3 linked regions of the Drosophila melanogaster genome follow. The protein of the gene in region 1 interacts with the protein of each later gene in a pairwise test. Each region holds a gene or a part of one and is shown on either strand. Other genes may lie near its edges.

Region 1 (6,911 bases):
ATACGAACACATCTAGTGCTGGTGCTAACTCAAGCAATCGGATTAGTCTAAGCAATGTATCCCCGCCAAATACTGCAATGCGCAAGGAGCGATTCCTGGGCAGCGCCAGTGGTCCGCAGCAGCATCCGCCCGTTCAACGGGGTCTGCACTCGTACGGCCAGACAAAACACTATTCACCCCTAATGCCAACGTCAACATCCAGCTCCAACGACAGCGTATGTGATTCACTATCTTCCAACAACGGCCTGGGCAGCTCCATTGTGGCCAATAGTGGCAACAGTGGGAATGTTGCCCAGCACTTGAGCGCACGGAACACTAATGACTATGCGCTGATATCGTCACAGAATTCATCGCTGTCGCCGCATCTTGGACCCACCTGCGACGAGGTCGTCACGGCCACAACATTGCCCTCGGTTAGTTTAAGCTGTGGTGGCACCGCCAGCGAAAGCACCGAATATCCGCCTAGTAAAATGCATCGTAATCGTGACGTCAACCAAATAAAACGTGATTTGTCAACGGGCACCGCGTGAGTATATAATTTACTATTGGTTCTAATTGCAACTTAATCGCCTAAAACCTGTTGCTTACTTACAGTCGTGTGCGCACACTCTATGCTTGCATGGGAGAAAGCGAGGGCGAGCTTTCTTTCGAGCCCAACCAAATAATAACCAATGGTGAGTTTTGAGAGCATGAGTGGAAGATTTGTTATTTACAATGATTTCACCGCTTACAGTTCGTTACTCCCACGAACCCGGCTGGCTGCAGGGCACACTAAATGGGAAAACAGGACTCATTCCGGAGAACTATGTGGAACATTTGAAGCCGCACCATTAGAATTTGAGTGCGATGAAGTTCGTGGAGTTCGCAACTATTTCTTGCATTCGTCGGTAGATACAATTAATAAGGAGAATTAGGAAATCTGAAAATAATCGTTGTGTAAAAACTAATTTTGATTATGTGTACCCGTACCCATGAGGGGATTTACATGAGCTGCATTTTATTTTATGCTGGAAACCAGGAAACCACAATCTTACCTTATAAATATGTTAACCTTTATAATACCATGACCATACAATGTACTTATTTTTAATTATTTAATAAGGAGTATAAACTCAGTGCAACTGCAAAGATTTATTTACTAATTGTTACGCTCTTCATTTGTTGCTTATTTATACATAATTCACGTAATTTGTGCAAAAATGGATTACAACGTATCTAATATCTACTACATATACAAATGTATAAAAATAAATAGCAGTGCTTCGCTCACTTTTAAAATGTAAACTTTAAACTGAAGTCTGCCATATACCATATCAAAAAAAAAAAAATAATAATATAATAATAATAATAAATATTTTCTTAGCAAGGCAAAGAAAACGTAGAATGTTGAAATGGTTGTTTTACTATACTCTTTTGGGCGGTTTTTTTTTATCACAAGTTGGTCGCAAACCTAAAATAATGACTGTTTGCACAGAATATTACAAATGCGAACCATTTTTTAAGGATTCATTTTTTGTCAATTTTTTTGTAAAAATTTAGCTAAAATAACATCAATATGCTAAAGCAATACAAAAAATTTTCAGTTCAGAATTTTCTAAAGCCGCCGCTGTTTACTTTGCACAAAGCAATTAAATGTATGTGCATAAATAAACATATTTCAAAACGATAAATTATTCTATTCAAACAAATGTTTGCACTGCGACCCCACAAAAAGCATTCAAAATCGAAATGAAAGAAGTTCGTGTTTACAAAGCGTATTTTGTTGATTTTCTATAAATAGCATAAATACAAATGCAAAATAAATGTATAAACCAAGGTTAGCTAAAATTGCAATTAGAATTGATTTCCGTTTTTCATAATTTTATTTAAAAATAGCCAATCATTTGTTCACCGGAATTCATAAATAAATAAGGTAAAAATAAATAAAGAGAATAAATTAAGTTGTTGCAATTGAGATATTCAAATTTAGTCACGTAATAATGAATAATCGTGCGCATTTTAAATGTTTATACATTGTGCCCCATTGTACATTTTGATAAATGTATTTTCGCATAAATATATTCTAAAAAATATTTCCTTTATAGAATTTCTGTGCCTTTCCCTATGCAATTCACTCTCAAAATCACTCTCATCACTTCAGCGGAAGTCCATTTATCAATAAACTATTATCAGCGCTTAATTCTTTTGGTCCTTCACCGACTTTCGTGTGGATTATATATCTGAAAGCATTTTTAGCATGAACATCTAGTGAATCCAACTTGCTGCTCTCAGCATCTTGCACTTTTGGAATGGGAAGGCCTCGCAAGTAGGTGCCACCATCCGCTAAATCATTGGGGAACACCTTTTGGATAGCGCTCAAGAGATGCGGAACGTGCTCCGCCAGGACATAGAGGCATGCATTTGGACCAGCATCGAAGGTGTACGCGGCATGATAGCTACCCATTCGTTCGTTATAATCGTGAACGAAGGACACGATACTGTGCGACACATCGTTCATGTAGACACACGGCGGATAGGTGTCCAGGGCGATGGCATGGAACTGATTCGAGTCCTTCATCGTTATCTCGGCGAATGCCTGAAAGTCATGGCTTGCGATGGCCTCCCTCAATCGGATAATCCGGTCGGGAACCACTTGATCCACGCGATGTTTGATCAACTGAGACGTCTTCACCGCCTGTTGCATGCCCCTTGTCGAGGCAGTCTTCTTGCGTGCATCGTTAACGACCAGGATGAGCACATGCATGTTGGGCCAGTGGTCGGATGGAGCTATTTGCCTCGCCACCGAATCGCTGCCATCATCCAGAGCTCCGCGATGCCACTGCACAAAACCGCCATACAGACTGCGACATGCCGATCCACTTCCTTGCCGCGCCACCGTCGTCAGCTCCTCATTCAGCGGTATATCGTAGAGTCGGGACAGGGAGTACACCAGGCAGGCGTAGCCAGCTGCACTGGATGCCAGTCCGGCGGCGGTGGGGAAATTGTTTACCGATGCGATGTGCAGCTTCCAGGTTGGCGGAACCTTCTGGGAGCCACTCGCCACAGCCAATCGATGAACTGCAAGTGCATTTTTTACATTAAAGTTCTATACTTTTATATATATAACTATAAACTCGCCTTCATTCAAACAGCGCTGCAGGCGGGAACTCTCTTCAAAAGGCACCTCCTCCCCATTCAGCCACATGCGATTCGTTTCAAAGGATTCCGATGCAGTCACTGTTGTCTTGGCGCAGAGCTTGGGAGATGGGATCAAGAAAGGTAATTGTTCAAGATTTTAAAAGTCTCGATAGATTGCTATTTCAAAAAATAAGTTAGAAATTACAGGATTTCGAACAACCCATATTCAAAAACCCATTTTTTTTAAGTTAGTAATTTCATTTTAATCTTAAGCAAATTCAGTGTCCACACAAATCGAAAGAGAGAGAATCGGTGAAAAGTGAAAATCCGTGAGATCTTCCCAAATTAAATAGAAAGTTTTCGTAATATTTACATTTGTGAGAAAATGAAAACTTCGACTACGCGCACTTTAAACTTAAACCATTATTAAAAGCGTCTAAGGTTTTTTAATTTTTTAATTACAATTTGTTGGTTTTAAAACGCAAATAAATATTTAAATATCTTTCATATTTACCTCATCGGTGCTCAGAGTCATGCTAATGGAATCATTGACGGGCAGAATTAGCTCTTCGTGCCGCTTTCCCCCTTTAAAGGAATGCATGTGCATAAGTTTATGTGCTTATAATATATGTATTAATTTACCCACAATATTTGATGAGCGCTATGTTTACGGGCGCCACACAAGTAACCGAAAACATGTTTGAAAATGTTTTTAATTCAGAAATTCACTTGTTTTCAGCTGCTTTCCAGCGAAAGCGACAACTGTTGACTGCGGTGTGACCACCCAGTGGACTCTTCAAATATACCATGTGGCCCCAAAAAATGTAGTTGTGGGTATTCCCCAATTACCGCCCATATTGAGGTTTGAGTCACGGCTAAATCGCTATTTCCATTTATTTTTAAACCAATGAAAGTTTGTAGTGAGTAAACATTAGTGTTAATAAAAATAGAAAATACATTAGCGTTAAGCATAGAGCTGTGTTTGGTTTTTGTATTTATTAGAATTGTATTTTAAATGTGAATACTTGCAGCCGCAACCATTCCGATTTCATGTGTTTCCAAATTATTTACGTGTTTAGTTTTCTTTTGGTTGTGTGTGGCTTTGAGAGACGCGGGTTGAGTAGCATGCGGTGCATTAACTTGGTTAAATTGAATGGGTCGGATGAAATGATGGGGACTAGCCCTTGAGGCTCGTCATGCCCGCACGCATCACCTCGTCGACGAGAAGCAGGTTGCTGGCAATGATCGAACAGGAGTTGAGGATCTGCTTCTTAACGATGTAGTTGTCGTAGACGCCCAGATCCACGGGCTTCATGGGCTCCCCGGTGGCCAGATCCAGGCCGACCAGTTCGGGACTCAGGCGATCCTCAACAGTCAGCTTGACGATTGTGTCCTGGGCATCGTAGCCGCTGTTCACGGCCAGCGTCTTGGGAATGACCAGCAGGGCATCGGCAAAGGCCTGCACTGCCAGGCGGGACTTGCCCTTGATGGTGTCCTTGAAGGCGACCAGCTCGTTGTACGCGCGCACCTCGAATGCTCCAGCTCCGGGCACCAGAGCCTTATCGGCAATGGTGTTGTTGATGGCACGCAGACCGTCCCTGATGGCGTCCTTGATCTGGGTGATCGTGTGCTTGTTGGGACCCTTGATCAGGATCGTGACGGACAGCGGGTTCTTGCAGTCCTCAACGAAAGTGTACTTGTTCTCGCCCAGAACATGCTCGTACACCACACCGGCGTATCCCAAGTGCTCCTCCTGCAGATCGTCAAAGGAGTTCATTGCAGTGCCACCGCAGGCCAAAGACAGACGCTCCATGTTGCGGCGCTTGGCGCGACGCAAGGCCAGGATGCCCTCCTTGGCCAGGGCGTCCAGCGAGATGGGGTCGATGCCCTTCTGGTTGATCAGGACGAAGGTTTTGTCGGTGCCATCGCACACGGAGCGCTTCAATTCGATCACCTTCTTCACACGCTGGTCGATGAATTCGCGCTCGGCGCGCACAAAGGCCTCACGCTCCTCGGCGGTCTTGTAGAAGAAGCCAGAGTTGACCTCGGCCTTCTCGTACTCCAGCGAGACATTGGCCGTAAGGATGTAGGCATTCTCCAAACGCTTCGGCATGTCCGGGTGGCGAGCACCATGGTCCATGACTAGTCCACGCACCAGCTGTGTATCGGTATCGGATTTGTGCTGCATCTCCATCAGCTCCACCATGTGGAGGTCCACGGGCTTGGTCTTATCGGCACTGGCAATGGTCAGCACGGCATTCACGCAGACGTCCGTAAGCAGATCGGCAAGGGCGGGATGCACCTTGGTCTTCAGACTTGTGTTGGCCACCTCCACCAGGTTCTTCTTGTTGATCTCCACGGGCACCTTGACCTGGTCGAGCACCTCCAATGCCTTGTCGCGTGCCTTCTCGAATCCATCGGTCATGATGCGAGGATGCAGTCCCTCGGACAGATAGATATCGGCCTGCTTCAGGAGCTCGCCAATAAGCATCACAGTGGTGGTGGTTCCATCGCCGGTGGAATCATCCTGGGCCGTGCTGGCCCTGGCAATCATAGAGGCAGTCGGATGTTGGATCTGCATTTCGTGCAGCAGGACATTGCCATCCTTGGTGATCTTGATGTCGCCGGCGCCAGAAACCAACCTGCGAAGTTTCTAGAATTAGTATGCTTGTTTCACTTTTCACGGCGCGTGAGTCAAGTCACGCCTCTTTCGATGCCACTTTCTGAATCACCCGGTGCTGGATATGCAGGTAAACACACATTTATGAATAAATTAAAGCCTCTGGGGGCATCTTTCATTTAAGATTCTTTTTGAAATTAAATAAAAACACCTAAATTCTAAGCTTTTTGCTCCAGAGTTGCAACATTCTCTTTCTTTCTTTTGCGATGACGCATGCCGCTAGTTCCAGTCTAACCTCAAACTTGCAGTTGCCGCAGCTGTGACCAAAACGTTTGTTTTTTCGCCTATAAACTAGCATTCTCACTCAAATTGCTAATGGAACGCAAAGTGAGGGATATTAGAGGCCGGTTTTAGTAACTTACATCTTAACGGTGCCCTTGGGTCCCAAATTGGTGCGCATCACATCCTGCAGTCCCTTGGCGGCACTGATATTGATGGCCAGAGCCTGGGCGGCGCGGGCAAACTCGGCCTTGGGGTTCAGCAAGCTAATCGAAGCCATCGCGTGTCGCAATTAAACAGAGATTTTCTTAGCTCGGCAAAATAAATCAATAGGAATCGGCACAAATCCAAGCACGCTTAAAGTTAGGCGAATCGAAGAAATCAGATGGCAAGTGTGACCAGATGGGGGAAAGACAACTAGAGACTTCAAAGCAGTACAATCGATAGTATTGTAATCACTTCCAATTTGTAACACTTTTATTTATTTCTAATTAGATTTTTCGTTGTGGTGGCTTACATGCAAAATGACATTTAAAAAATGTTTCATATATATATCTTTTTTTTTATTTAAATTTATTAAACGAAATTATTTTATTGACTAGCGTACCATTACCCTTCTTGGGCAACTTAATTTAATCGGTATCAATTTAAGCGATTCTTAATATCTAAGTTATTTACAAAGATTATATGATTATGAGTATTAAAGAAGGTCTTAAGGGTGGTAATATATTTCCCGCTAGTAATGGCTATTTCCCGCTAAATCACTGCAAAATAAGCCGCACAATTTAATCGGCTCACCTGCGACCACCGATGGCGATTAGCAAATGAAATGCAACCGTGCGCCCAAACCCCAACACTAAAAAGTTTTTTTTTATTGGCCAAATCGGGATAAAAT
Region 2 (5,726 bases), on another chromosome or scaffold:
GGGGATAATTAAGTAATTTATAAATATACATTTAAAAGAGAAAGAAAAATCACGGTGACACAAACTGTGAAGAAACCCAGGCCAATCCCCATTTCAGGTTGGTTAGCATGAATTTCAGTGCCTTGGTCCACTGCTCCTCCGAGTTAAACTGGATTCTGTAAGGAAACCATCATTATTATAGGTAAAATCTTTACCATTTCTAAACCTACTTAATAGAATAGGAATTTCCCGTGGAGGGATCGATGATCTTGCCCTTCTCCATCTTGTAGGGCAGCAGGAACTCGGTGTCGCGCTTCTCGACCTCCTTCTGGAACTGGGTAAGACAGTCGAGAAAAGCTACCATGGCAGCATCAAACTTGGTGTCCCAGAAAAACTTAAATCCGCCGCTGCCATAAAGCGGGAGCTCTCGATTCTCGCCGAGCACCTCAACATACGAATGATTTCCAAAGGGTACTACACGATACCGCTCGAAGGTGAGCCCTATCTTACGAGCAAGCGCAGAGAGCAGAAGCACCGTCTGGCCCCAAGCGGCGTTGATCTCTGACCAGTCCACGGATACAGAGGGCAATCGACCCAGCCTAAAGTTATTAATGGTACCGAAATGCCCGGCATGCCAGATGTGAAAGGTGATGTTGAATATGTTGGTGTCGCGCAGTTTGTCCAGCTGCTGTTTCGAGTAGGCGATCTGACACTCCAGACTTCGTTTGTCATCCTCGGTGAGCATTAGCTCACGCCTGTGCTTGGTATACTCGCGCCAGTAGCTTTCCTCCTGCTCGTGCAGCTCCTCTCGCTCCTGTTCCTCCTCGGCAATGGCATCATTTAGCGATTGTTCCTCCTTTTTGAGCTCTTTTAGCTCCGACAGAAGCTGTTGCTCGCTGCGCTTTAGTTCGTCGAGCTCCTTGTCCAGGGCCTCAACGTTGGGTGCTACACGCTGTTGCTCTAGTTCATCCAAATAAGCCTTGTACACATCCCACTCGTCCTCAGCGATGCGCAGTTCCCTGTCCATGATTTCCAGCATGGAGTCGGCACACTCTTCGCACAGCGGATGGTCAATCTCAGAGTTGGAGGAGAGGCAGTCAAACAGCTCCGCTTTCAGCTTAAAAGCAGCACTCATTTTCTTGTTGTCCCTGCCATCGGAAACCAGCATAAAACCAGTGCCATTTATAGAGTCCGTAAGCCTGTAGGGCGGCACAAAGTGGTCGAAGCTGCTGGCGTCCTGCGGGTCCAATGTATTGCCATTGTCTCCGTAGATGGGCACTGAAAAAGTGATTTATTAGACTAATTTCCAGAGTGTATCACCCATCATCACCTACAAGATAACTCCGCCATTGCGTGCACGCTAATCTTCTCCAGCTGCTCGTCCAGGACGATGGGCTGCAGGCAGCGCTGACAGGCGAAGGACACCGCCTGCTTTTCCGCCTCACTCATTGTCGTTCCTGTTTGTTGTCCTTCGATTTTTGCATACAATTAAATCTTTCACCGAGTGTAAAAACACAAATAATCCATCAGCTGTTTGCAACTGCTACCAGAGTTGCCACCCCCTCCGAAAAAGAGTGTGGAAAAATGGCGCAGTTAATCGGACAGTAAATCGTCAACCAACAACAACCTGAGACAGTAAAAAAGAGAGAAATAACAGAAAACCAGTTTTAAACAATAACATTGCCTAATTGTGTCCGCCGGAGATGCTTAAGCGTGCCGCGAAGCTGCAGGCCTTGACCACAATTCCCGCTGATAAGAGAGAACTCAAGGGGTTGGCTTTTGGTTTGTTTTGGTAAGCGACAGAACATTAGACGGAGTGCCGTCGCCAGTGCTGCCAACCTATTTTAGCTATAGCAAATATTTCATAGTAGCAAAGAGGTAGAACCCAAATACAATTTTTATAAATAATAGTTTATAGTTAGCGAACGGACTAAAAGAGAAACCTGATATCGAACGACTTATTATATTTTTTGTTAACTCAATTTTAAACTTACTCCAGCGTAAACCATACTTTATAAATAGTTTACCAAAAATGATAGCACAAGTGCCAGAAAGCTATTCACTTCATTTTTAATTTGATTAGGTAAATTGTGCGAAGGAAGTATTTAAAAAAATGTGAAATGACGTACTAAGCACCCCACATATAGACTAAGAATTAAAGGTTAAGGACATTGACTTTCGCAATCTTTGTATTGTAGTTAAGCCACAAGCATTGATAAGCAAAGAAATTGTAAGAGTGAAATAAAATCATAATAAGATGAATTAATTAAAGTAGAGAAACTGATAAAGACTTGCACTTGAAGCTGACACATGTGTTTAATAACTATATAATTGCTAAGGGAAATTTTGTTTTTGAAAAGTTTCCGTTATCAAGCTCGAAATTTCTAGCAATGGGGCAGCACGAAATTTGCCGCTGTAAATCTAGCTTTCAAAACCTGGCAGCACTGTCGGTGGTCACATTGTAGCCTCTTCGCATTTGACGACCCATGGAAAACTTTCAGTCTCTTGCAGGCAGCACAGCGATACGGAAGCAACAATTGAAACGTCCAGAACTCCTCCTCCCACGAGTATTTAAATTCTGACACAAGAGTGCCTGAACCAAAATCCCACTCACCGAATGCTGGTGCTTTGATTTGCAACTGTTCCTAGGTTCCGGCTGAATCCCTAGATTTGCGGATCTACGCAACTCATTCACTCAAAAGCCAGCCGAATTTATCGCGCCAGATTAAACAAACAGAAACAAAAAACAGAAGCCGAGACCAGTTCCACATCGTGCCATTTTTATCTGGGCATATAGGCAGACGTGATTACGTGATTAGTGCGGCTGGGGCTGCCGTTTATCAATAGCGAGAGCAACAATGGTTTCCTACTTCGTACCTCGTGGCCGCTTCCTGCTGAAGGCCGGCAATCTCAGACAGGTGGTGCAGCAGCAGCATCAGCCGGCCCAGCTACAGCTGCAGCCCATTAAAGGACCACAGCCGCAGGCTCAGAATGCCAGTCTGCCGGTGGCCCGTCACTTGCGCCAATTCTCCTCGAATCCAGCCTCCAAGGAGGCACCATTACACCACCGGCGCCCGCAACATAAACAACAACCGAATCCTAGTCAGGAGTTAGCTCAGATTCGGCGCAATATACTCTCACGGTGGACGGGCTTCCTGTTGCGTTGGGCTCCCATGGGCATCTGTGTGTTTGGCGCCATCGAGTGGCAGTTGCAGAAGAACCGCTGCGAAAAGGAAGGAAAACCTCGGACAGCGTCCGAGCTCCAGTCGCGCATTTACTGCTCCCTGCCACTGCGCATAATCAGCCGTTGCTGGGGCTGGCTGGCCGCTTGCTACTTGCCTCCCAGTCTGCGTCCCTACGTCTACGGATGGTATTCCAACACGTTTGATGTTAATTTGAGCGAGGCCATGTATCCGGAGTATGAGCACTACAATAGTCTGGCTGAGTTCTTTACCAGGCCACTTAAGGAGGGCGTTCGTGTCATCGATCAGCAGGCTCCACTGGTCTCCCCCGCCGACGGTAAGGTTCTACATTTTGGCAGCGCCTCGGACTCGCTAATAGAGCAGGTCAAGGGTGTTAGCTACAGTATCGAGGACTTCCTTGGCCCGCTGGAGACTGTGGAGCAGGCAAATTCCGGTGCCTCCTATGCCCAGGCCCTCAAAAAGAAGAGCGATGGTTCTACGGAGCTGTACCAGTGCGTGATATATCTGGCTCCCGGAGATTACCATCGATTCCACTCTCCTACCGCTTGGAAGCCCACCATTCGTCGTCACTTCTCCGGCGAACTGCTGTCCGTGAGCCCCAAAGTTGCCGGCTGGCTGCCTGGTCTGTTTTGCCTCAACGAACGTGTGCTGTACATGGGCCAGTGGAAGCACGGATTCTTCTCCTACACCGCCGTGGGTGCCACAAACGTGGGATCCGTCGAAATCTACATGGATGCCGATCTGAAGACGAACCGTTGGACTGGATTCAATGTCGGCAAGCATCCGCCCAGCACCTACGAGTACGATGAACTGGTCTTGAACAAAGAACTAACAGAAGCGCCCAAGGAATTCGGCAAGGGGGATCTGGTGGGCCAGTTCAATATGGGCAGCACCATAGTCCTGCTCTTCGAGGCGCCAAAGAATTTCAAATTTGATATTATCGCCGGTCAGAAGATCCGCGTTGGCGAGTCCCTCGGCCACATCGTCGGCTCCAAATGAAAATGGGAGCCACAATTATGTACCGAATCAGTGCAAAGTCCTGTCCCCCAACTGCTCAGATCACTTGTTGTATTAGCATTAGACGCTCGTGTCCTAGGCAAATGTATTTTGTGAACATCCTGCGAAGCTAACTCTGTGTATTGTTGCCATTTCAGTAGTTTTAAGCTATATTTTATACAATAAACGTCGAATTATATTTGAGAACAACAACAGACCATCCATCAATTAACTCATTCAGGCACGCGCTTCTGAAGTAGAACACCGATTGTTGAGGTGGGGCGTTATCAGGGAACGTTTTGATAAGAGATACCAGGCTGAAACGCAGTCGTTGAACCCCTCGTTGCTGAGGATTCAGAAAGACTAAGTCTGTGTCTGTAGCCAGCTTATCGGGCCAAATAACGCTCCGGGGGTCCACACTCACCTCCTTTTGCGGAGTCCACGCTATCAGTGAACCTGAAAATGAAGCAAAACCTTTTTGGGCTAGACAAGCGCGTGCCGCTGCCGACGACAAGATGACAAGTCGTCTATGCCTTGCGCCACCCAGTGTTTACTTTAGCGCAGAATCCGGGATCGCAATCCATTCCGTTTAATTAATTCAATCAAGCCCGGACGCCGGGAATCTTGTTCGTTGAACTTATCAGGCGGTGACGGGTGATTTGGTTCCTGGCCTTGACACACACACTCCACGAAGTCCGTGAGTGTTAATTATTCGCCATGGCAACCGATTTGATTGCAAATCGAGCATCGGCTTAAGGGCAATCACTAAGGGAACTTCGAATATGGCGCCAACAGTGCTGTAAATGTTTAAATAAAAGTATAAGTCGTGGAATTGCCACTCTTTAAAGCTATTCGTTGTGAAAAAAAAACATAAGGAACTTTTATTTTGGCATATCACGCCATATTCTTATCAAATAATTTTTTTTCGGTTTAATTTTAAAAATTCGCGCCAACTCGATAAATGAACGTTCAGTTAAATTCACCTCATTGTACAAACGAGGTGAACTGTGTTAAACAGCTGACAGCCGGCATTCATTTGTTGTTCTCTGTGATTTTACGTAATATTGGTATTTATTCTGAATATAATTGTTTATAAAGCACATTAAAATGATGATGCGACACTGTATGATGGCCTTGAGGGTCGCTAGATCCCAGATCCCGTTCAGCACTGCCAGGAATACTCAGAGCAATCTCCTCCAACGTTTTTACAGCCAGGCTCCTCAAATTGGAATCGTGGACTACGACGTGGTCAAGAAACTACCCAGCGAACCACAGAAACTGCTCATCGATGTCCGGGAGCCGGAAGAGCTGAAGGAAACCGGACAAATCCCCGCCAGCATCAACATCCCTCTGGGCGTGGTTAGTCAGGAATTGGCGGCCAGTGAGCAGCTTTTTAAATCCAAATATGGCCGGGAAAAACCGAAGCCAGAAACGGAGATTATATTCCACTGCAAGATTGGCAAAAGAAGCCTTAAGGCTGCAGAAGCTGCCGCCGCATTGGGATTCAAGAATGTAAAGAACTACCAGGGATCTTGGCTGGATTGGGCC
Region 3 (9,281 bases), on another chromosome or scaffold:
CAGTGGTTATTTAGCGCTAATCCTAATCCTAATTCGGATTTGGATCATCCCAGCTCACCGTGACGAGGACGATGCGATTCTGGAGCTTGTTGTGCCGTTCGCAGAACTCCTTGAGCAGGGAGCGATTGTCCTCGAAGTCCGCGGGCGGCAGGTGCGTGTTGTAGAAGTCCTCCCAGTGCGTCATGTTGGCTTATCCTTTACGCTTGTTTTTGCTTTTTCTTTGTCGACCTGCTGCTAATTGGCCGACAAACGGAAGCTCGAAAATGAACGGAAAGTTGCCCTCTTCCGCCGGAAGCTATGCACTGCCAATTAATAAATACAGAATGTGCGAAATGGCAACCAAAATTAATTAACACACGCACTGCACTATTCGGCGTACTATCTTAATTGATTGATTTGCTTTTGCTTTGCTTTGGTTTGGTTTTTTTTTGCAGTTTCCGAAATGCGAAGGGCGGAATATGCGTGGCAGGGGGGCGGGGCAGGGGCTGCGGGTGGCGCTGCTTATCAATGGAACCGTTAAGGGGAGCGCGCGCGAGCGGGAGAGCGGAACGGAGCGCTCTGAAAAACCGGAGAGAGAGAGAGCGAACGAAAATGCTGAAAAACGCAGCTGTGGAAATGCGATGCGATGTGCACGGCAGCAAGGTCCGCGGGATTCTGAACCGAAAATGCGATAGGCAGCGATGGATGGCGGAGCGGGACGAGCGGGAATGTGGACAGGCGCACTCAAATCCGTATCTTTATTCGCACGAAACCTCGGGGTTCAAAGTGCAGGCCAAAAAAAAAAAACGCGTTGGCCAGGTAACAGCTGATTGCAGTGTTGGACAGGGACGAATTGGAGGCATTGCTGACTGGTTCCGGCGCATGCAGCAAACTTGTTGCTTGTCAAGATTAAGTTTTTCATGTATCGTTCTAAGGAAGCTATACAAAGGTTTCATTTAGCTAATAAGTAAGAAAGACCACCACTTCTGCCTAGTTATCTGTCAGCCAGAAGGTGTTTTTGTTGAATATTCATATTTGTGAACTAGTTCTTAGTCTTGTGGTACCCATGAGCTATCTGAGCAAAGTTGGCTGCGCTTTAGATATTATTTCAGTGTTGTTAATTAAGAAAACGCGCCTAATTCAAATTCAAATTTGAGCTATAAATACCTGTACGAAAACAAATTATTTCAATTTTTAAAGGGAAACCTTTTTTATTTTAGGGTTAAGAAAGAATAAATGCATAACAAATAAAAGCAATGTAATTGTTAACTCCAAAAATACCTTATACTACTGCATTTTATTGGGTGTGTAACTCGTTCTTTGTGTGGCTATTTTTAATTTAATGGCTTACCTGAGTGTGTTAAGTGTAAACAAGGCTTGTGAAGATTTATATCCAATAAAACTCAAAATGAATCAAGTCAGATAACATGTTTTGGTTATTTTTAAATTGCTTATTCATTTATAATCCATTAAATAATTCCAGTATTTTGAAAACCACAGAGTCTTAAGCAGCTGTGAAAGAGGTAACTTGCAGGAATTTACCATCAACAAAATAAAGACGCCTAAGTTAAATATTCATTTACATTTACATATAGTTTTTATTATCGATTAGCAACGTGGGTTCTATGCGTATTGTTAGTGCAAGGACGTACAAAAGAATCTCTAGAACAATATCACAGAAACTTACTAACTAATTGGTCTTGTCAACTGCGCTGTTAGAAATCGGCGTGACCTTTAGCAACGCCATTAGAGTGTAATTGGGAAGCGGAATGCTTTTCAGCTTGTCGTGGAAATTTATGGCATACATTAGACGATTGAGCACCGTCTCTCCACCACCATCCTAGCTGAGGCTGCAATGAATTGCCATCGTCGTCGTCTCGTCTGAATTGTGTGGTGAGTGTGCACTTTAAACCGAAACCAGGTCCAATTGAAGCCCACCGTCGTATCGGATCGAATCGAATCGGACCAGATTTCGAAACGGACTACGCCCTAGGCGTAGCTGCCGTCGTGGTTGGCGCATAGACCTGATAATCGACGTCGTCGACACCAGCCGCTTCATCCTCCAAGTCGTGATTGACCAGTCGTTCGCGCATTCCATACCGCTGCCTGATGATGGTGAAAAGAGATGGTAAATGAGTTAGCACTCTGAAAATTAGAGCAATTAGCCAATAGAACTCACTCCAGGTGCGAGCGCCATATGACCAGGCCGGCGTACAGGCCGATGGAGACCAAGGCCAGTGCCACCACCACGATGCCGAGCAGCACGTGTCCCTGGCTAACCGCATCCGCCTGCACGTTCAGCGGGCTCATCTCGATGTTCTCGTTGGCGAAGGTTTCGGTGTCCGTGCTGAAGATCACACCGCGTCCCTTGAAACGCTCCTCCAGATCGTCCACGTCATCCATGCTACTGTCGTCTTGGTCGGCATCGCCGGATTCCAGGATCTCCACATCGTACTTGTAGTTCTGTGCCAAAACCAAATTGGTGGCCGAGTTCAGTTGGTCCTCGTCGCGGTGGGGATATGACCGCCGCTGCTGCTCCTCCGATTCCGCCTCTGAGTCGGAATCGTCGGAAGTATCCTGCGATTAAAATAAAATACAATTTTAGTTAGTATAACATGCATATATTATTCAAGCTTTAAAATTAAACGATCAACATGTTTAAGCTGAATTTAACGTATATTCACTAATTATTTGTTATATTTTCATATTTATCTATAAATTGCCTTTAATTGCGTCAATTTGTTTTTCCCTGTGTATACAAAAAAAAGGCTCGTGTCATCGATGTGGCTTTCACTGTCGGCTGAGTAATTGATTTTCAAACGGCACGTGATTCTATGCGAGTTCTATGCCGAATTTGGGCAACAAATTTGAAAGTGGGCGTTGCAAAAGTGTCTGAATTGTGAAGGCGTGTTTAATATTTTTTAAAGTGCCTTATAGCTTCTTGAGATCATCTTTACTTATGCAAACGAATGAAGTAGCTTTAAAAATCCGGCTTTCAAATAGAAATTTTAGTGAAAATTAAAAAAAGTCATATACAAATTGTAATTGCTTTACAAACATGCTAATGTTTTGGATGGACTCATTACTTTCCCCTATTATTAAACAACAAGTTTTAAACCAGTCCGATTAAAAAACTGAGTGTTCTATTAAGCCAGATAGTGTTGACTTGGTAACCGAGTCTAACAATTGAAACTGAAATATATCCATGGAAATCGGAAGCCTCGCTGAGTCACAACTGAAAATTTCGAGGCTTTGCGTAAGTCAAATGTCTCCGCATATTAATCATCACTTAAAGCAGAGACTCACCTTACTTATGGCTCAATTATCCAAGCGAAACAGCTAAGGAAATTGGCTTTCATCTCAGTTTAGTTTCACTTCCAGCTGTCTAAACTAGCCAAGTTATCAGTAAGGTCGCTCGAACTTATCTTGCATAATATGTGTGTGTTTGGTTACCCATATTATTTTTCCATAAAGAATGTTAATGACTGCCGCAACCAAGTTGTTTTGCCAAATGCTGACTACCACAGATCACTCTCACTTACTATATAGTAAGTATCTTGTATCCCAAATGCCCTTTGTATGTATATGTAGATTGCTGACCCCGATGACCGTCGAGATCGAGATACCAACTTTTTGTAATTGCCAGTAACAATACGTGACTGGTTTTACTGTCTCTGTCTCAATCTCATTTGCTTTTTTAGCCGCTCCATCTCGTGTAATTGGCCGATTTGTTAACAACTAACGATAGAAAAAAAATAAGGTGACAAGCGAGCGATCGAGTTGGGAGATCTGGAAAATCGTAATCTGATTGGGGATTACCCTTGTGGGGATACAAAGGGGTTTTCTAAACTTCATTCATTCAAACGTCACGACAGCCGGAGGGATTACCTAGAATCCGATTCCATGGTGACTCACCCAAGTGTGGTTGGGGTATTATCACCCGCTATTATAATGCCCCCCACCGATTGGAGTTTCGTGACTAAGGCGTTGTGTATCCCCCCCTCTAGACCAAGTTTTTTTTTTATAATTTTATGCAAAGTTTCTGTGCGTGAGCTTTTTTATTTTTGTCTTTATAAGCGTTTCTTTCGGAGCCCCTTAAAAGGCGAACGCTGCGCGTGTCTTCTGCTGGCTTTTGCATTTAAATCAAAGTGAAAAGTAAATAAACATTTTTAAAGCGTAAATTTCCGGTTCTGGGTAAAAATAAACCCAAAATGCAGTAATGCATTTGGCCTGGCTCGTATTTCAGCTTCTTGGGTCGTTCGTTACTTAGTGCGTCAGTGCGTCAGTGATTCCAGTCGGAGTGGTTTTGGTTTTGGTTTTGGTTTTGGTTTTGGTTTTGGTTTTGTCCCGTTGTACCATTCTGCCCCGTTGCCCGGCTCTCTTTTGGCCTGGCCCAGTTACCCATGCCCAGCGTTTTGTTTTGGCCAACTCACCTCCACGACAGCTGTCTTATTTTTGGCAGCCACCGGCACTCCTCGTGCTGCTCCAGCTCCTGCACCCAGATCACTTGGCTCCTTCGTCTGCGGTTTGTTTAAATCCTGCGAGGGCTTGGCTTGGGCTAAAAGAGAAAGCAATTAAGCCGAAATGAGATAATGCATTCGCTTGAATTAGCCGGTATTTGGTTACAGCTTACAGCGGGCTACCTGAATAAGAAAACACAGATCTTCTCGGTTTCAGGGGAAGCGCAAATATTTACCCTTTACCCCGAGATTTCGCAACTAGCACCTTTTTAGCCAAATTGCAGATATGTTTCCTTATCAGCCAACTGTGATTTTATTCAAAACTAAACACCAGACCCAGACAATACGAATTTGTTTTGCTGCCACCGCCGCATTATCAGTAGACAATGAATTTGGGGTTACGCTTTCTGGCAAACAAAGTAAAAGCGTGTTGTGGCTCAAAAAAGCAGCATTAATTAGCACAGACGAGGTCAATGAAATAGCAATGATGGCGTCAATAAAATATATGTAAATATTTTAATATATTTATTTAAATTGGAATAAGTAAATAGCAGCCTGTTTTACTTTCCGAAACTCAATAACTAACTTTAACCATTCCATTCCTACTTTAATCACTGCCACTGTACACTTTAAGATTTGTTTGAATCGTATGGTTTTTTTTTTTTGCAAACCTGTCCGTTTATACATACATATATACTATATAGCAGAACTGAAACAATAAACACATTTCTAATGCCACAAACGATTCGCCAATGCCGATCGCTTTGGGATTCGCATAAACCGCTCACGAATCGCGTCAAAATCGCGCGTTAGCTGGTGGAGCTTCCAAAAATTCCACAAACAAAAGCCAATTAAATTCGAAAAAGCACATGATTTAGCCATGATGTCTTGCAATTTATTGCATTCGACATTCGTAAGTCACCCAGTTTTGAATTGAGTACGTGACGATAGGCCAAAGCCTTCAGCCGAAGAAAACTTGATCCACTTTTGACAAGTGTCAAAGAGTCCGGAGAGTTCTTATCACTGAGTTGCGGGTGCTAACAACTTTAGGACAAATAATATAAGTTAAGACCCAGCTCATAAAGTTCTGACACCTCATAATCTGCAGGAAGGAACGGCAGTCATTTGGCCATTTGTTATAAAGTAATCTCGTTGGTTATGTAATAGTAGTAATAGTAAGGAAATTTTAAGGATTATATTGTAATTAAATTAATTGGCTTTCAAGCTTAAAAATGAAAAATACAACATGAAAATCCAATGCTAGAATGTCCACTATCATTTCAACAAATTGTACTTTTAGAACTTATTGATTTAAAAAAGAAATCTGAAACCCAATTATCCATCTGAATAGTTCCCTCTTGGCAGGATTTATACAACAACGCCTATTATTTTGACCACAACTGTTCGCTTACAATTCCTGCGTAGCGATCATTTACCAATATAGCGCAAAAGGCCTGGCGAAATCTTATCTGCACTGCGAAGCCAGCTGGATGGATGGAGTTCCCCCATGGAATTAAAGTCTTGCAATTTAATTTCGCGACCTGGCGGGACCTTGATGGACGACGATTCATTGCGACGGGACGGCGGGCGGTCGAACCATTCAATAAAAACCCCATATTTATGCGCTGTAAACCGGGCGGGCTTCACCATAAAGGCGTCCCGAACCGGACATGGTCTTCGATCTTGGCTGGCACTTAAGGCAAAGGGTGAACCGTAAACTGTTAGCTGTCTAGCCAAGTGGCCGCTCCAACTCGATCCCATCCAGCTGCGCTGCAAACTAGTTTCGCTGCAGAAGTGGAAACATCGAGTGTGCGTGTCTATCTATCTTGTTTCGCCCGTTGTCACTGTAGTTATATCTTTTTATCTGTCGTGGTACTTACACTCCGCCAGCAGCAGAACCAACAGAAGCGCACTGTTGAAGACCAAAGTTTTCCGCAGTGCCATCATATTGCGAATTTATGTAGATATGCGGGCACCGTCGTCACTTCCTTTATCAATTAGCTCCTTATCACTCACGCACAGGTTACGCGCCACTCGATCGCTGGATACTTTTCGATGATTAAGCGCTCGTTCGGCTTATTCTGCGGGCCAAATTGTAAATGTTTGTTATATTTCTCCGCCTTGCCAGTTTTACGTGCGTTCGCGACGAGCTTTCCGTGCGGAATGACAAACTCAAGCTGAGAGCCAGCCGAGTTAACCCCAACTCTGTTAACTCTCTGTTAACCGATCGAGGCAGTAACATTGACTTACTGTTGGGGGTATTCGAAACGAAGAAATTACTTAGCATTCTTAACTTTGCTCGGATTTTACCACCTTGCTCGTTAACCGATTGTTAAAGGTATAAATTATTATTATTATTCAGTACATTTTATTCCTGATATGTGCTATTTTGAATAACGAAGTGGGTCATGAATGAATTCTGTGAATTAAAAAATCAAATACTTATAGGCTTTTTTATGCTAATTATTCATCAAATAAAAATGTCTCTAATTTATAATCACTGTTTTTGTCACAAACATCAAAATATTTTTCAAGTTTTTGAGATACATGAATCACATGCATAGAAAACAATGACTACTTAGGTATTTGCAAACATTTTTATTTGAGCAACAAACTATTTTCTCCCTCAAAACAGCAAGTTTATACTACTTATTAACCAAGGTAAAATTAAAATGTTTTACAACTGTCATCGGAAAATAAAGCATTCCATGTTTTAAAAACACCCAATCGAATGGATTATGTAAAAGTATTGGATTTTTTTTATTTTGCCCACTTAGTAGCAAGTGGCGCTTACGGATGCCCGATCCATGGGGCAACCATAAACTTGGATGTCTGTGATTAGGGTAAGGAAACATAACACTTATTTCACAAGAATTCGCCAGCTGCTTAAATGGTACATGTAAAAATATTGAAGTATTTTTATTTTTCTAGACATTCTGAGTGGCGCTCGATGTGTACGTACATACAACTCTTTGGATTCTGTGTGTACAGTCAATTTACGATGCCCAAGCCGCCCTGAGCGAATTCCATATTTACAAGAGAAGGGGGTGGGGATTGGGAGGGGGGGGGGTGTCGGAAAGGGTTGGGGCCTTAAAATACCTAAACTCAACTACACTCAACAATTTGCTTATGGTCACTACTTATACGCCTTATACACCGGCGGTTGCACTTTAAGCTTCAACGTTATAGATTTGGCCAGGACACCAGCGGAGGAACCACGATCCCGACGGCCAATCCCCGCACCGAACACTCCTTCCGTGCTAGCCGGAAGTGGATCGGCGGTGGGCGTGGCCGCAAGGAACGGCCAACCGGGGCGTCATTTGGGATATGAGCCGCGCCGGAGCCGGCAGTCTGCTGTGCCCGGAATTCGTGGGGGAATCGTTCACGGGACCGACCAGCAGCCCCTGCCGGGCGGACGCAGTTGACTAGTGGCGGACAAAACTTTCAAAGCAATCGAAAGCGAAACCTTTGTACACACTTAATAGATTCCTGCGGGTCGAGTTCGTGGTCAGTTCGTCGTCAATGCTCAGTGTCCAGTAATCTTTTCGTTTGTTTTTTGGATGAGAAAATGAGGGAAACTTAAACGGCTCGGTAAAAAAGAAAGGCGTGGCAGCGCGCTAAACAAATTGCTCTGAGCTGTTGGCGGACAGCTCCATCAGCCGCCAGGCAGCCTTGGGGTTGAGTTCGTTGCGGTCGCGGCACAGCACCCAGACGTAGTGAACCCGCATCACCTTCTCCGGATCTCCCTCGACGACCTGACTCTTCTGGTCCCGCACGCACATAATCTGCTGGGCTTGGAACGTGATAATCAGTACCGGGCCCTGCTCCATAACCTTGCCCATTGCCAGTTCAATGTTCTCGATGTCGAGGATCTTGGAGTCCAGGTACACGCCGGCCTTCTTAGCCTCCTTAATGGGATTTGCGATAATATTGAAAGTGCTCTCAAAGCACCAATCCTTCAGAATCTCCAGATCCCCACGGACAATCGATTCCAGAATATTTGGAATGATGTCCGTTTCGCAATCGCGGAGGAAATCCTTCTGATCAAAGCTCGGATCGATTTTCACCAGCTCCGTCATCGTTTCCGAAAGCTCTGTCTTTGAAAAGAGTCCACCCATGACGTCGGACACTTTATCGGTCAGCAGGCGGGAGGCACGAATAACAGGGTTCTCGGACTCGTCGTATTTAACCTTCCAGTCAAGCACCTTGTTCACGTAGGTATTGTTGTTCTTGAAGTTCTCCCACGACTCGTAGAACTTGGAGTCCTTGTGCAGCTCCATACCTGAAAAGTAACATTACATTATGGCCATGACCTTTGATCTTATTGAAGGAAAAAGATGGAGACTCACCAGTGGCTTCCGTGTTGGGCTCCACAACGCGATCACTATCGCTCATGACGAGCTGGACGCGCTTTCGCAACTTGGCAGGAGCACGATAGACACGATTCTCTATGCTCGCGCTGTCCATCTCCTTCTTGATGGTCGTCGTCGTGTTAGAGATAGCCTGGAATGCGCTGGTCTGGCCCAGCTTGCCACTGGTGTCGGAGATCGTGTCGCTGACCCCCCTAGCCTTCTTCGAGAGCTCCTCGGTAACCTTTTTGGCCAGGTGGGATTTGCTGGCGTCCTCCAGAACATCGCCTACGCGCTCCTTGATGGCGCCCAGCTGCTCCTTTAGCATGCTAGACGACTTTTGCGCCTCCGATTCGACAATGTTAAACTTTTGCCGCGCCGATTTCAGGGCATCCGATTCTTCCAGCTTCTGGGCCTCCTCACGGAACTTTCGGATATTGTCCTTGATCTCCTTGTTCTTATCCATCTCCGCCTTCATGTTGTCGAAGAACTG

What was found.
Region 2: the proteins of Mvd (region 1) and Pisd interact in a two-hybrid assay, tested with the Drosophila melanogaster proteins (one large-scale study listed by BioGRID).
Region 3: the proteins of Mvd (region 1) and CG5835 interact in a two-hybrid assay, tested with the Drosophila melanogaster proteins (one large-scale study listed by BioGRID).

What each region holds. Positions count from the first base shown.
Region 1 is NC_004354.4:15,746,156-15,753,066, reverse strand, and holds Mvd (mevalonate diphosphate decarboxylase), read right to left. Parts: upstream 3,902-6,911; 5' UTR 3,816-3,901; coding exon 3,764-3,815; intron 3,703-3,763; coding exon 3,632-3,702; intron 3,236-3,631; coding exon 3,118-3,235; intron 3,058-3,117; coding exon 2,132-3,057; 3' UTR 1,330-2,131; downstream 1-1,329. Other genes in the region: Graf (GTPase regulator associated with FAK), read left to right, coding at 1-526, 595-674, 734-834; CCT6 (chaperonin containing TCP1 subunit 6), read right to left, coding at 4,295-5,759, 6,160-6,296.
Region 2 is NT_033777.3:24,049,210-24,054,935, forward strand, and holds Pisd (phosphatidylserine decarboxylase), read left to right. Parts: upstream 1-1,573; 5' UTR 1,574-1,771; intron 1,772-2,471; exon of another isoform or gene 2,472-2,480; 5' UTR 2,481-2,837; coding exon 2,838-4,181; 3' UTR 4,182-4,383; downstream 4,384-5,726. Other genes in the region: Atg6 (Autophagy-related 6), read right to left, coding at 50-155, 210-1,257, 1,314-1,428; CG6000 (uncharacterized protein), read left to right, coding at 5,286-5,726.
Region 3 is NT_033777.3:19,147,077-19,156,357, forward strand, and holds CG5835 (uncharacterized protein), read right to left. Parts: upstream 6,611-9,281; 5' UTR 6,387-6,610; coding exon 6,320-6,386; intron 4,538-6,319; coding exon 4,413-4,537; intron 2,557-4,412; coding exon 2,159-2,556; intron 2,108-2,158; exon of another isoform or gene 2,086-2,107; coding exon 1,962-2,085; 3' UTR 1,556-1,961; downstream 1-1,555. Other genes in the region: Ppcs (phosphopantothenoylcysteine synthetase), read right to left, coding at 59-184; CG11779 (uncharacterized protein), read right to left, coding at 8,057-8,721, 8,789-9,281.